2 linked regions of the Macaca mulatta genome follow. The protein of the gene in region 1 binds, or shares a complex with, the protein of each later gene. Links are inferred from orthologs where the notes say so. Each region holds a gene or a part of one and is shown in the gene's direction. Other genes may lie near its edges.

What was found. Proteins that work in one complex are often made in the same cells at the same time.
Region 2: the proteins of SIRT5 (region 1) and PRDX1 are in contact, whole or in part, in a crystal structure (PDB 8Z54), measured with the Homo sapiens proteins. The link is inferred for Macaca mulatta from reciprocal best matches to the Homo sapiens genes SIRT5 and PRDX1. Residues at the interface, in NP_001363727.1 of Homo sapiens: Ala86, Tyr102, Arg105, Gln140, Ile142, His158, Val220, Val221, Trp222, Phe223, Gly224, Glu225, Asn226, Leu227, Leu232, Val253, Val254, Tyr255, Pro256; in NP_001189360.1 of Homo sapiens: Phe195, Ser196, Lys197, Gln198.

What each region holds. Positions count from the first base shown.
Region 1 is NC_133409.1:169,515,111-169,520,834, reverse strand, and holds part of SIRT5 (NAD-dependent protein deacylase sirtuin-5, mitochondrial), read left to right. Parts: intron 1-571; coding exon 572-625; intron 626-2,664; coding exon 2,665-2,788; intron 2,789-4,438; coding exon 4,439-4,554; intron 4,555-4,685; coding exon of another isoform or gene 4,686-4,725; exon of another isoform or gene 4,726-5,240; intron 5,241-5,724. UniProt on the Homo sapiens protein: NAD-dependent lysine demalonylase, desuccinylase and deglutarylase that specifically removes malonyl, succinyl and glutaryl groups on target proteins.
Region 2 is NC_133406.1:195,089,760-195,096,175, forward strand, and holds the start of PRDX1 (peroxiredoxin-1), read left to right. Parts: upstream 1-2,530; 5' UTR 2,531-2,597; intron 2,598-5,546; 5' UTR 5,547-5,557; coding exon 5,558-5,663; intron 5,664-6,416. UniProt on the Homo sapiens protein: Thiol-specific peroxidase that catalyzes the reduction of hydrogen peroxide and organic hydroperoxides to water and alcohols, respectively.

The sequences.
Region 1 (5,724 bases):
GTATAAAGGTAAACATGAAGTTCCCTCTTAGCACACCCAGCTACTCCAGCCCTCCCTACACAGGAATTCTCTCACTGGCAGTACAACCACTGGTGATTTTTTTTTTTTTTTTTTCTGAGACAGAGTCTTGCTCTGTTTCCCAGGCTGGAGTACAGTGGCACAATCACACCTTACTGCAGCCTCCAACTCCTGGGCTCAAGCAATCCTCCTGCCTTAGCCTCCCAAGTAGCTAGGACTATAGGCACACACCACACTGAGCTAATTTTTGTATTTCTAGTAGAAATGCAGTCTCACTATATTGCCCAGGCTGGTCTTGATCTTCTGGCCTCAAGCAGTCCTCCCACTCTGGCCTCACCAAATGCTGGGATTATAGGCATGAGCCACTATGCCCAGTACCACTGGTAATTAATGGCCTGGGGTCCTTCCTTCTAATGCCCTTCCAAGTGAGCATGTATTAATTAGGAGTTTTACACCACATACTACCAGGCAAATATACAAACTGAGTTATGTTGTTTCTTTATTTTTTATTATGCCAATAACAATCTTTCTTTTCTAATATTATTTGCTTCAGTGCTCCAGAACCTGGAACTCAAGATGCCAGCATCCCAGTTGAGAAACTTCCCCGGTGGGTAAAAAGCTCTGATTTGTACCAGTGTTCCTGGTTACAAAAAAAATAGACATCAAAATCTAAACATGTATTTGGCAAGATGCCTCTTAAATCAAATGCACAAATGTGAAAACTAGCCTTGACCTCTAAGACCAAAAGTGAAAGGACAAAGGATGAACCAAAGTAGGATGAAAAAAATGATTTCTTTCCAACCCCTTTTTGCTTTGTGTTCTGGCGGGATCATTTCAGGTCGGGAAAGTTTCTGAAGCTGTTGTGTGACAGGTGGTTACCCAGTGTACAGAAAGCATATGGGCTGACCTATAACTGGTCAAATAACATCACTGGCATTATTAATCCATGGTTAAGGAGGCAATGAATAAGGAGGCAATGAAAGGACGTGAATAGGAGAGGTTACAGGACCCAACAGAATGTTCATAGATAAAAAAAAAAAAAAAAAAAAGGAAGATTTTGATGCCAATTTTTCAAAACCAGACATTAAAACAGCACTTCTATAATCTGTAATTGGATCAGAGGTTTTTTTGTTGCGGGTTTTTTTGTTTTTTTGGGTTTTTTTTGAGATGGAATCTCACTTGATGTCCAGGCTGGAGTGCAGTGGCGCGATCTTGGCTCACTGTAACCTCCGCCTTCTGGATTCAAATGATTCTCTTGCCTCAGCCTCTCGAGTAGCTGGGATTACAGGCGCCCGCCAGCATGCCCGGCTATTTTTTGTGTTTTTAGTAGAGACGAGGTTTTGCCATGTTGGCCAGGCTGGTCTTGAGCTCTTGACCTCAGGTGATCCACCCACCTCGGCCTCCCAACATGCTGGGATTACAGGCATGAGCCACCGCGCCTGGCTGGATTAGAGTGTTTTTAAGGTAAAATAAAACAGCACTTCTAAAAGTGTTTCATAGAATATTAATTTAATATTACGTTGAGAGACATTACTTGATAAAAACATGTTAGGCACTCAAATTACAGAAATGTTAGACTAAACAAAGTTAAAATATGTTTGCTCTACTGCAGGACTTTTCAGAGCATTTATTCCACATTGCTGCCTTCTAAAAAGTGGTTATAAAATGTATGTTAATGCTTTACTGACTTATTTAACCACAGAACCTTTTAAATTTTCCTTATGAGGGTTTTAATTGCTAAATATTAAAGTTTTCTTCTGAAGGAATAGGGAGACCTGGAGGACTTCTATGATGCAGGAGATTACGATGATGAAAATGGTGTTTGAGGGATGATTTTAGGAGGTGTATAGAAGGTGACCCTGAGGTAGGAGGGAGTGAAAGAAAGAGATTTTTAGTAATGGATACAGGAAAGCTGACTACATACGGGACCAGAGAGACGTGAACCTGAGAGCACATGAAAGGTCATCGATGAAATTAGGGGATGCTTGGGGTGGGAGGCAAACCTGAGTCCAGTATGACTCCCAGGTCTGGGTGGCTGTGAGCACAAGTGTGAGCATAATGAAGGAACCGGGAAAGCTTAGCTGAAACAATCTGTCAGCACATCAAGTACACAGAGACAAGATAAAAAACAAGGACAGTTCGGCAGGGCGCGGTGGCTCACGCCTGTCATCCCAGCACTTTGGGAGGCTGAGGCAGGCATATCATGAGGTCAGGAGTTCGAGACCAGCCTGGCCAATATAGTGAAACCCCATCTCTACTAAAAATACAAAAATTAGCCGGGTGTGGTCGCATACGCCTGTAGTCCCAGCTACTCGGTAGGCTGAGGCAGGAGAATGGCGTGAACCCGGGAGGCGGAGCTTGCAGTGAGCCGAGACCACGCCACTGCACTCCAGCCTGGGCTGCTAACAGAGCGAGACTCCGTCTCAAAAAAAATAAATTAAAAAAAAAAAAAAAAAAAAAAGGACCGTTACACCTGATGCTTCACATGCAAGGCAACTTTATATAGGCTGGGAGGAGAGTGTAGGGAATAAGAGGCATCAGAGGTGAACCATCTGGACGTACTGGGTTTGGGGTAGCCCCTGGCCGCCCTCCGATCCAGCTGGGCAGACTTTGCTCGGGGTTGGCTCAAGGATCCCATTCTTCCAGGTGTGAAGAGGCAGGCTGCGGAGGCTTGCTGCGCCCTCACGTCGTGTGGTTTGGAGAAAACCTGGATCCTGCCATTCTGGAGGAGGTTGACAAAGAGCTCGGCCGCTGTGATTTATGTCTAGTGGTGGGTCACGGCTTTCCCTGACCCCAAGCAGGACTGGAGTTAGTTATTTTTTGCTTCCCCCTCTCCCCTTTTCCGTCCTCGCTCCCTTGCTTCTTTCCTTCCCGCCTTCTCTCCCCCCTCCCCTTCTTCCTTTCCTTAAAATGTATGTTGAGAGGTCTTTGTGGCATCCTATAGAAAAACTGAGAAACAATGAATAAGAATTTATATTAAAATGGGAAACCATGCATGTCTTGGACATCTCAAAGCCTTCTCCCCCAGCCCCACCAAAAAAAAAGAACATACTATTGGTTTTTAAAATAATACGTGCTTATGATTAAATGTAATTGAGAACATGCAAAAATTATCACATTATAAAGAGGAAATTAGAAATCGCCCATAGTTCTGCTAATCAGAAATAGTTACCATTAGCAGTTTAGTATATTTTCTTCTAGACCAGGAGTGAGCAAACAGCAGCCTTTGGGCCACATTGGGCCTGCTACCTGTTTTTGTAAATAAAGTTTTATTGGAACTCAGCCGCACTCATTCTTCCACACACTATGACTACTTTCAAACTACAGTGGCAGAGTTGAGTACTTGTGACAGAGACTGAATGGCTGCAAAGCCTGAAAAATTTACTCTATGGTCCTTTTCAGAATAAGTTTGCCCACCTCTGGTCTAAACCTTTTCTTATGCAGATGTACACATATTAATTAAAATTCAAAACTGACTTCATGACATATGTTCTGTTTTGAAACTACTTTATTCACGCAGCAGTTCACTTAGCATATTCCATGTCAGTACATCTAAATCAATATCATCTTTCAGTTGACTGTATGGTGTTTTATATGGATAGGGAATGATATATTTAGCTAATTCTCTACTGTAAGACATTTGGGCTATTTCAAATTTTGATATTTTAATCAATGATATCGTACATATCCTTAGATAGAAATCTTACCATGCTCTTCAAATGATTTCCTTAAGACACATTTCCTAAAAGTGGGATTAATTGGACAGATTGTATGCATATTTCAAATTTTTCTGGACACATCTTTAAAAGCAGAGGCACTTTCTTGTGGTGCATATTCATTCAGCCAGTATTTAAAGAATGCTTTCCAATGTCGAGTATAGTATCACTGTTGATGATGGATTGTTAAATGAGAAAAGCTGGTTTACAAACCAGTCATGCTCTTCCCATCCCTGCAAAGAATGTTTATAAGCAAATATTTATGAGAGAAAACCTAAGAGGACATACATGAAAATGTTAACAGTGGTTATCTTGGGGTAAGATTATTGATGATATCTATTTTTTTTCTTCGTATTTTCTACCTTTAACAAAAAGAAAATATGTTTTAAAAAGTTATGGATCATTTGCTTAACTTTAAAGCAGAAACAAAACCAGAACTACCCCCAAAACATGTTGAGTCACTTCTAAGTCACTCTTTTGTTAACTCTCCTTTTCATGTCACATATTCTTGTCGATTCTAGTGATTGATCAAAGGACAGCTCTTCACTTTCCCTCATCCCTTGGACACCCTGTTTTATCCCATCCTGTTTGGCTTTTCTCACACCTGCAACCACAGACCTATCTGAGTTTGTGTAAGGTTTTCTGAAAAAATGTTCCTTCTTGTCGTGTGGCCGTTTGTCCATCTCCATGTGCTTGCCTTGTAGGTGGGCACTTCCTCTGTGGTGTACCCAGCCGCCATGTTTGCCCCCCAGGTGGCTGCCAGGGGCGTGCCAGTGGCAGAATTTAATACGGAGACCACCCCAGCTACGAACAGATTCAGGTACTGGGATACCCTGATGGGAGAGGGCGATGTGGGAGGCAGGTGCAGACATGGTCATCTAAACATAGTTGACCTACTCCTCTAATTTTTAAAAAAGACACAGGGTTTGTGTTTTTTTGTTTGATCTGCAGTTGCTTTTATGGAAGAACAAAATCATTCACTGTAGACTAAGGTAGGGTAGCTCTGTCATTGTACACGACATTTGCCATGGGACTTTTGTTTGTTCACATTTTGAAAGCTCTTCTTTGATTCCTTAGGCTTTGCTTTCCCTTACATTTTTAAGCTAGACTCAGTGATGGCCTTTAGTTGTAGGTTACCCAGATGCTCCGCAAGTAAGCCTGGGAGACGCCCTTGCAGAACCTCATCACCTGCCGTTCTCACTGGGAGGCCACCTGGCAGATTCCCCTTTGGTCTAATCGCCAAGGTTATCTGTATCTGTGGCCATGTTATGACACTGATCCTGCTTCCCAAGTTTAGGTGGGAAGTGTAGATTGTCATAGTATGCATTTTTAGTCTTATTCCTGGGTCTGTTTTATGTCTTCACCCTTCTGTCTTTTTTCTCACTCCAACTTTTTTTTGCCTTTACTTCTTATTCTTGTCCATCTAGTTAATTCCTTTTGAATAAGTTAGACTATAAATAAGTAGTAAATGAATATAAATGAATAAAATAGAAAACTTCATTGAAACATCTTGTCATTACTTTAATCAGCAGTTTCCAACCTTGGCTGCATATTTTAAAAATACTGATGCCTGGGGGCCACTTCATGAAATTTCAGTGTCATTGCTCTGAGTTGCAGCCCAGACATCATTTGATAAGCTTCCTAGGTGATTCCAGTGTGCAGCCAGGATAGGAACCACTCTTCAAAGTCTCTGCTGGGATTTAAAAAAAAAAAAGGAAAAAAGAAAAGGGGCCACAGACACTTAAGTAGGCCCCTCCTCAGGTGAGTGAACTGGCTCTGGGCCTCTTCTTTTCCATGTGTCTTTTTGATCAGCTATAGCCTGTGTTCTTGATCCATAGTTCTTCATTTGTGTGTGAGTAGTAGGAACTAAGAAGATAGCCTAAAAAAAATTGCCTCCTATGCTAAACTTATACTTTGAAAACTACAGAACATTGTTGAAAGAAATAAAGAAGGCCTAAATGAATGGAAACATATCCAATGTTCATGGATT
Region 2 (6,416 bases), on another chromosome or scaffold:
TCTTGTTGTCCAGGCTGGAGTGCAATGGCGCTATCTCAGCTCACTGCAACCTCTGCCTCCCCGGTTCAAGCAATTCTCCTGCCTAAGCTTCCCGAGTAGCTGGGATTACAGGCATGTGCCACCACACTCGGCTAATTTTGTATTTTTAGTAGAAACGGGGTTGCTCCACATTGGTCAGGCTGGTCTCGAACTCCTGACCTCAGGTAATCCACCTGCTTCAGCCTCCCAAAGTGCTGGGATTACAGGCATGAGCCACTGCGCCCGGCCCTGATAGTGAGAAGTTTTTTGTTTTTTTTTTTTTTTTTTTTTTTGAGACTGAGTCTGGCTCTGTCGCCCAGGCTGGAGTGCAGTGGCCGGATCTCAGCTCACTGCAAGCTCCGCCTCCCGGGTTTACGCCATTCTCCTGCCTCAGCCTCCGGTGTAGCTGGGACCACAGGCGCCCGCCACCTCGCCCGGCTAGTTTTTTGTATTTTTTAGTAGAGACGGGGTTTCACCGTGTTAGCCAGGATGGTCTCGATCTCCTGACCTTGTGATCCGCCCGTCTCAGCCTCCCAAAGTGCTGGGATTACAGGCTTGAGCCACCGTGCCCGGCTGAGAAGTTTTAACTCAGTAAATTGACTACAGAGCCTCAGCTTTTATTTATTTATTTTTATTTTTATTTTCTTTTTAAATTTTATTTTATTATTTCTTTCTTTAGCCCCAGCTTTTAAACCACAAATAAGAGTGACATGATCAGATTTCAGAAAAATTTCCTTCGGCTGCAGTGGAAAGGATGGATAAGAGATAGTGTTAATCGAAATGAGTGACTAAACAGACTAAACCATGTCACAGACACTTCTGTGGCTGCTTCTTCCCAAGAGGTTCTCAGGAGGTTTTTAGCATTTATACATTTTCTTTGAAAAGTGGGGGTGGGAAAGTGAGGCGAAGACTTTAGCTAATGCTCAGTAAATCTACATTTTGTTTTTTGAGACGGAGTCTTGCTCTGTTGCCAGGCTGGAGTGCAGTGGTGATCTCGGCTCACTGCAACCTCTGCCTCCAGGTTCAAGCGATTCCCCTGCCTCAGCCTCCCGAGTAGCTGGGACTACAGGCGCGCCACCGCGCCCAGCTAATTTTCTGTATTTTAGTAGAGACGGGGTTTTACCATGTTGACCAGGATGGTATCAAACTCCTGACCTTATGATCCGCCCCCTCCTCGGCGGCCTAAATCTACATTTTTACACAAGATAAGGTGAATGTTTGAGGAAAATGGGAATAGCGGAAGAAAACAATTGTGTGATGGACTCAGGGTAATCTAGTAGTAAGGTACTACTAGAAAGGTAGAAAGTAGTCTAGTAGAAAGGTAATATAGTAGTCAACATTTATGGAATTTGTGGAATAGAGGCCAGGTGAGGTGGCTCGCGCCTATATTCGTAGCACTTTGGGAGGACAAGGTGGGTGAATCACCTGAGGTCAGGCGTTGGAGGCCAGCCTAGCCAACAGGATGAAACCCCGTCTCTACTAAAAATATAAAAAATTAGCTGGGCATGGTGGTGCGTGCCTGTAGTCCCAGATACTCCGGAGGCTAGGCGGGAGAATCGCTTGAGCCCGGGAGGTGGAGGTTGCAGTAAGCCTACACCGTGCCACTGCACTACAGCCTGGGCGACAGGGTGAGTGAGACTCGTCTCAAAAAAAATGTGGAATACAACAAACTTTCGTTTTAGGAACTAGACTTTAGATTGCAGATCTAGTTACAATTGACACGTCCTTGTTTTATGGGAGGCTACATACTTTAAAGGTTTCCAGGGTAGCAAATAATTGTGATTTTGTGTATGTGTGTTTGTGGGGGGTAGTCATCAGGAAGTGTCTGAGGCCTTTTGCCTTACTGTGTAGGTCTGGCTAATGTGTAATATTTTGACTCAAGATTGTAAAGTCAAGTTATTCATCCGGGGAAAGGATGGTCGTGTAGCTGAATCAGCGTCCTAAACTGAACTTTCCCTTTGGCATAAGTTTAGGAGTCCTGATATTTTATTTTGCTTTACAACAGAAAGCAGCAACCCTGTAATCAAAGAGAACAATGAAGGAAGCTATCTAACCCATGAGGGTTACTGAGGATCTGCGCTGGGGTTAAGGCTGCTTAACTTAAGAAATATTCGGACAGACAGTTCTCATGGCTTGGTGTGGTTAGACGTGGTCATCCGTGGGCAGCAGCTAGGACGCTTACTCCGGTTTGGGCATTAAGGGCACAGTGCGTAGTGGTCCTGGAAGTAAAGGGAATCCTGGTTTTTCGCAGAGACCTTGGATTAACCTAAGCGTTTGGGTTTGGGAGCGGCCACAAGAGCGCCTCACTCCAGCCTCAGCCATCCGCAGCAGGGAGAGGTATTAGTATTTCCGCGCCCGCCCCCACGAGGAAAAGCGCCGAGTCATTCCGGTGGGGCGCGCCGGGCGGGGCTCGGGCCACATCCCCCTCCTCTTTCTTCTCTTCCAGAACCCCTGGTCCGCTCCGACTCTCGCGAGAGCCCTACTGGCTATAAAGGCAGCGCCCCGGGCGGATTTTGCGCGTTTTGTTCTTGCCTGTTTTGTTCTTCCGTGGTGTTGATCTGTGAGTTGTGTTAGGACTGGTGAGTGTGGGCAGCGCGGCCTCTGCGGAGTGAGGCGCGGCGCGCCTTTCTTGTCTGTTGCCTCTTCCTTCTCCTGTCCGGGGCTCGCCCGCCCTTGGGTGGGGGTACTGTGATGCGTGAGGCGGCCGGGGGAGACCCGGAGCCCGAGACTGCCTGAGCGCTACGCGCACCCCTCTCATGGGCCCCCCACGTAGGTGCGGGGACGTGGGACCCCAAGGCTAGCGTGGACTCGAGTCGAGTCGTTCCCCGGCAACTTGAGCACGTGGCGCGGCGTCTGGGCGGGCTGGTGGTGGGGTCTCCAAGACTAGCCTCCTGTCGGGCGGGGTGGGTTCGGGAAGCTTCTGGAATGGACCTGTATCCGGACTCGTGGCTGTAGAAGACAGCCTGTATTTTTGTCCATCTTGTGATAGGGTAAATGCTGTTCCGGGTCCTGAGCCTTGACTAGCTGCGGAGCTTCGGGTACCCTTTCCCCGTCTTTATTTTCCTGTACGTGGAATGGAGTTAGTGATGAGCCCAAATGTCCCCGCTGAAGCACTCTTTCTGCTGGTACTTTACACAGTGCTGGGGAGGGACAGGGGTACCTGAAGTGGGGTTCAGGGGTGTGGCCCTCGGCACTGGGCAGATCCCCTGAAGGGGCCCGGCGCCGGCCTGAAGCAGCCTTTACCCCGAATTGGTTGGGTTTGGTACTTGGGAGCCACCTGGGAAAGTAGGATGGGACGAGAAGGCCATTTGGGGACACCAAGTTGCAGCATGCATTAGTTTCTGGTTTTTGTTTTTTGTCGTTAAAGGTGTTAAGGACTTTTTAAAAAACAGTTTTTAAAGAACTTTAGGACTTGGAAAAACTTTTAGACTGCGGCTCAGTGGGTTAAAACTCTGTTTTTTTTTTTGAGAGAGTCTCGCTCTGTCGGCCAGGCTGGAGTAGCAGTGGTGCGGTCTCGGCTTACTGGGACAACCTCTGTCTGCCGAACTCAAGCAATTCTCCTCCCTCAGTCTCGCGAGTAGCTGGAATTACAGGCGTGTGCCACCAAGCCCCGGCAAATTTTTGCTGTTTTTCTTTTCTTTTTTTTTGAGATGGAGTCTCGCTTTGTCGCCCAGGCTGGAGTGCAGTGGTGCGATCTCGGCTCACTGCAAGCTCCGCCTCGCGGGTTCAGCCATTCTCCTGCATCAGCTCCTGAGTAGCTGGAACTGCAGACGCCGGTCACCACGCCCGGCTAATTTTTTTTTTTTTTTTGTAGTTGTAGTAGAGACGGGGTTTCACCATGTTGGCCAGGCCTGTCGCGAACTTTTTTTTTTTTTTTTTTTGAGACGGAGTCTTGCTCTGTCTCCTAGGCTGGAGTGCAGTGGCGGGATCTCGGCTCACTGCAGCCTCCATCTCCCGGTTTCAAGTGATTCTCCTGCCTCAGCCTCCGGAGTAGCTGGGACTACGGGCGCGTGCCACCACACCCGGCTAACTTTTTGTATTTTTGTTAGAGACGGGGTTTAACTATGTTGGCCGGGCTATTCTCGAACTCCTGACTTGAGGTGATCTGCCTGTCTCAGCTACCAAAGTGCTGGCATTACAGGCCAAGATCTCGATGCTTATCTTGGTGTTGATCTGGGTGAATCCTGCGCAACCTTCCTTTTCAGAAGTAAATTGATTCTTGTTCTACTTCTTTTCGCCCTGGGATATTAGCCCAGAAGTCAGGAACCCATTTGTGAAGGGACTTCTAGGGCTTACACAATACCTAAAGATTTGAAATTAAGCAGACGCCAATATCTTGGTCTTCCCGCGCCCCCCCCCCCCACCGGCTTTTTTTTTTCTTCACTGTATGGCCCAGAGTGAAAAGTCTCACTCTGTCGCCCAGGCTGCAGTGCAGTGGTGTGATCTTGCCTTACTGCAACCTCTGCCTCCCGGGTTCAAGCGATTCACCTGCTTCAGCAGCCTCCTGAGTAGTTGCGATTACAGGCATGCACCACCACTCTCGGCTAATTTTTGTATTTTTAGTAGAGACAGGGTTTCACCATGTTGGCCAGACTGGTCTTGAACTCCTGACCTTGTGATCCGCCTGCCTCGGCCTTCGGAAGTGCTGGGATTACAGGTGTGAGCCACCGCGCCCAGTGGTCTTGCCTCTTAAAAGTTGGACTGGCTGGAAGGGTGCGGTGGCTCACACCTGTAATCCCAGCATTTTGGGAGGCTGAGTTGGGCGATCACCTGAGGTGAGGAGTTCGAGACCAGCCTGACCAACATGGAGAAACCCTTTCTCTAATAAAACTACAAAAAAATTAGCCGGGTGTAGTGGCTAGCGCCTGTAATCCCAGATACTCCGGAGGCTGAGGCAGGAGAATCACTTGAACCCTAGAGGTGGAGGTTGCGGTGAGCCGAGATAGCGCCATTGCACTCCAGCCTGGGCCCCAAGAGCGAAACTCCGTCCAAAAAAAATAAAATAAAACAAGTTGTGTTAGTTATAGGTCGACCGTGTGCTGTCTTTGACAAAGCTACCTGGAGAAAAGTCAAATATGCTTCTGACGTTATTAAGGCAGGTGGAGGCACAGTAATGGGAAAGGTCAACATGACTATGAGCCAAACAAAAGTGTTTGTGGCATTGTGCATTCGGATTCTGGTTTGAGAGTCTTCACCTGCCTCCCTCTCTGCTTCTGTCTAATGAATAAGATGCCACTGCACTAATTATGGTTCAGAAAGAGTGAGAGGTTTTCTTAGTATATAAAGAAATTGCCTTGTCGTTTTTAAATGAAAACAAAGGCTGAGATTCAGAGACTTGTTTTGTTTCAAAAGCTCTGATTGTGACCCTTGACTGCTGGCCTGAGCTTCTTACTAAAATAACATTTAATGTATTCAGGGACACTGGACAATGCCTTGATTGTTCTACAGCTAAGTCTCTTAAGTAGGTGAAGGCTGCTGGTTATCTAGAAAATTAAGGCTTGTTTCTAATTAATTTCTGTTATTTCTAGCTAATAGGAAGATGTCTTCAGGAAATGCTAAAATTGGGCACCCTGCCCCCAACTTCAAAGCCACAGCCGTTATGCCAGATGGTCAGTTTAAAGATATCAGCCTGTCTGACTACAAAGGTAAGAGAATTTACACTGGGCTCATTGAGATGGGGTTATTTTATATTCTAGGGATGGCTTGTTAGATTTGTGTCAGTGTTATGTTTGACTGTAAAACGTTTTGTCTCCTAGAAAGAAGTATTTAGGTTGTTACCTTCATGTTGAAGTAGTGATTATCAAGTGATTACAGGGTATATATCCTAGGACCAAACCACTTCTGGAGAAACCACATGCTTCATTATGTCTGGACATACTAGCTCAATTATCTTTTTAGTATTCCTCCTCTATTTTCTTTATTTATTTTTATTTTTGAGACAGGGTCTCATTCTGTCACCCAGGCTGGAGTGCAGTGGTGCAGTCATGGCTCACTGCAGCCTCTACCTCTCTGGACTCAGGCGATCCTCCCACCTCAGCCTCCCAAGTAGCTGGGACTGTAGGGGCATGCCACCATGCCCGGCTAATTTTTGTGTTTTTTGTAGAGATGGGCACCATCTCCAACTCCTGGGCTCAAGCCCTCTACCTGCCCCAGCCTTTCAAAGTGCTGGGATAACAGGTGTGAGCTACTGCATCTGGCCCTCCTCTATTTTATTATTGGAGAAATTCACATTATCTCTTGTTTTGTTTTGTTTTGTTTTTGAGACGGAGTCTCGCTCTGTCGCCCAGGCTGGAGTGCAGTGGCCGGATCTCAGCTCACTGCAAGCTCTGCCTCCCAGGTTTACGCCATTCTCCTGCCTCAGCCTCCCGAGTAGCGGGGACTACAGGCACCTGCCACCT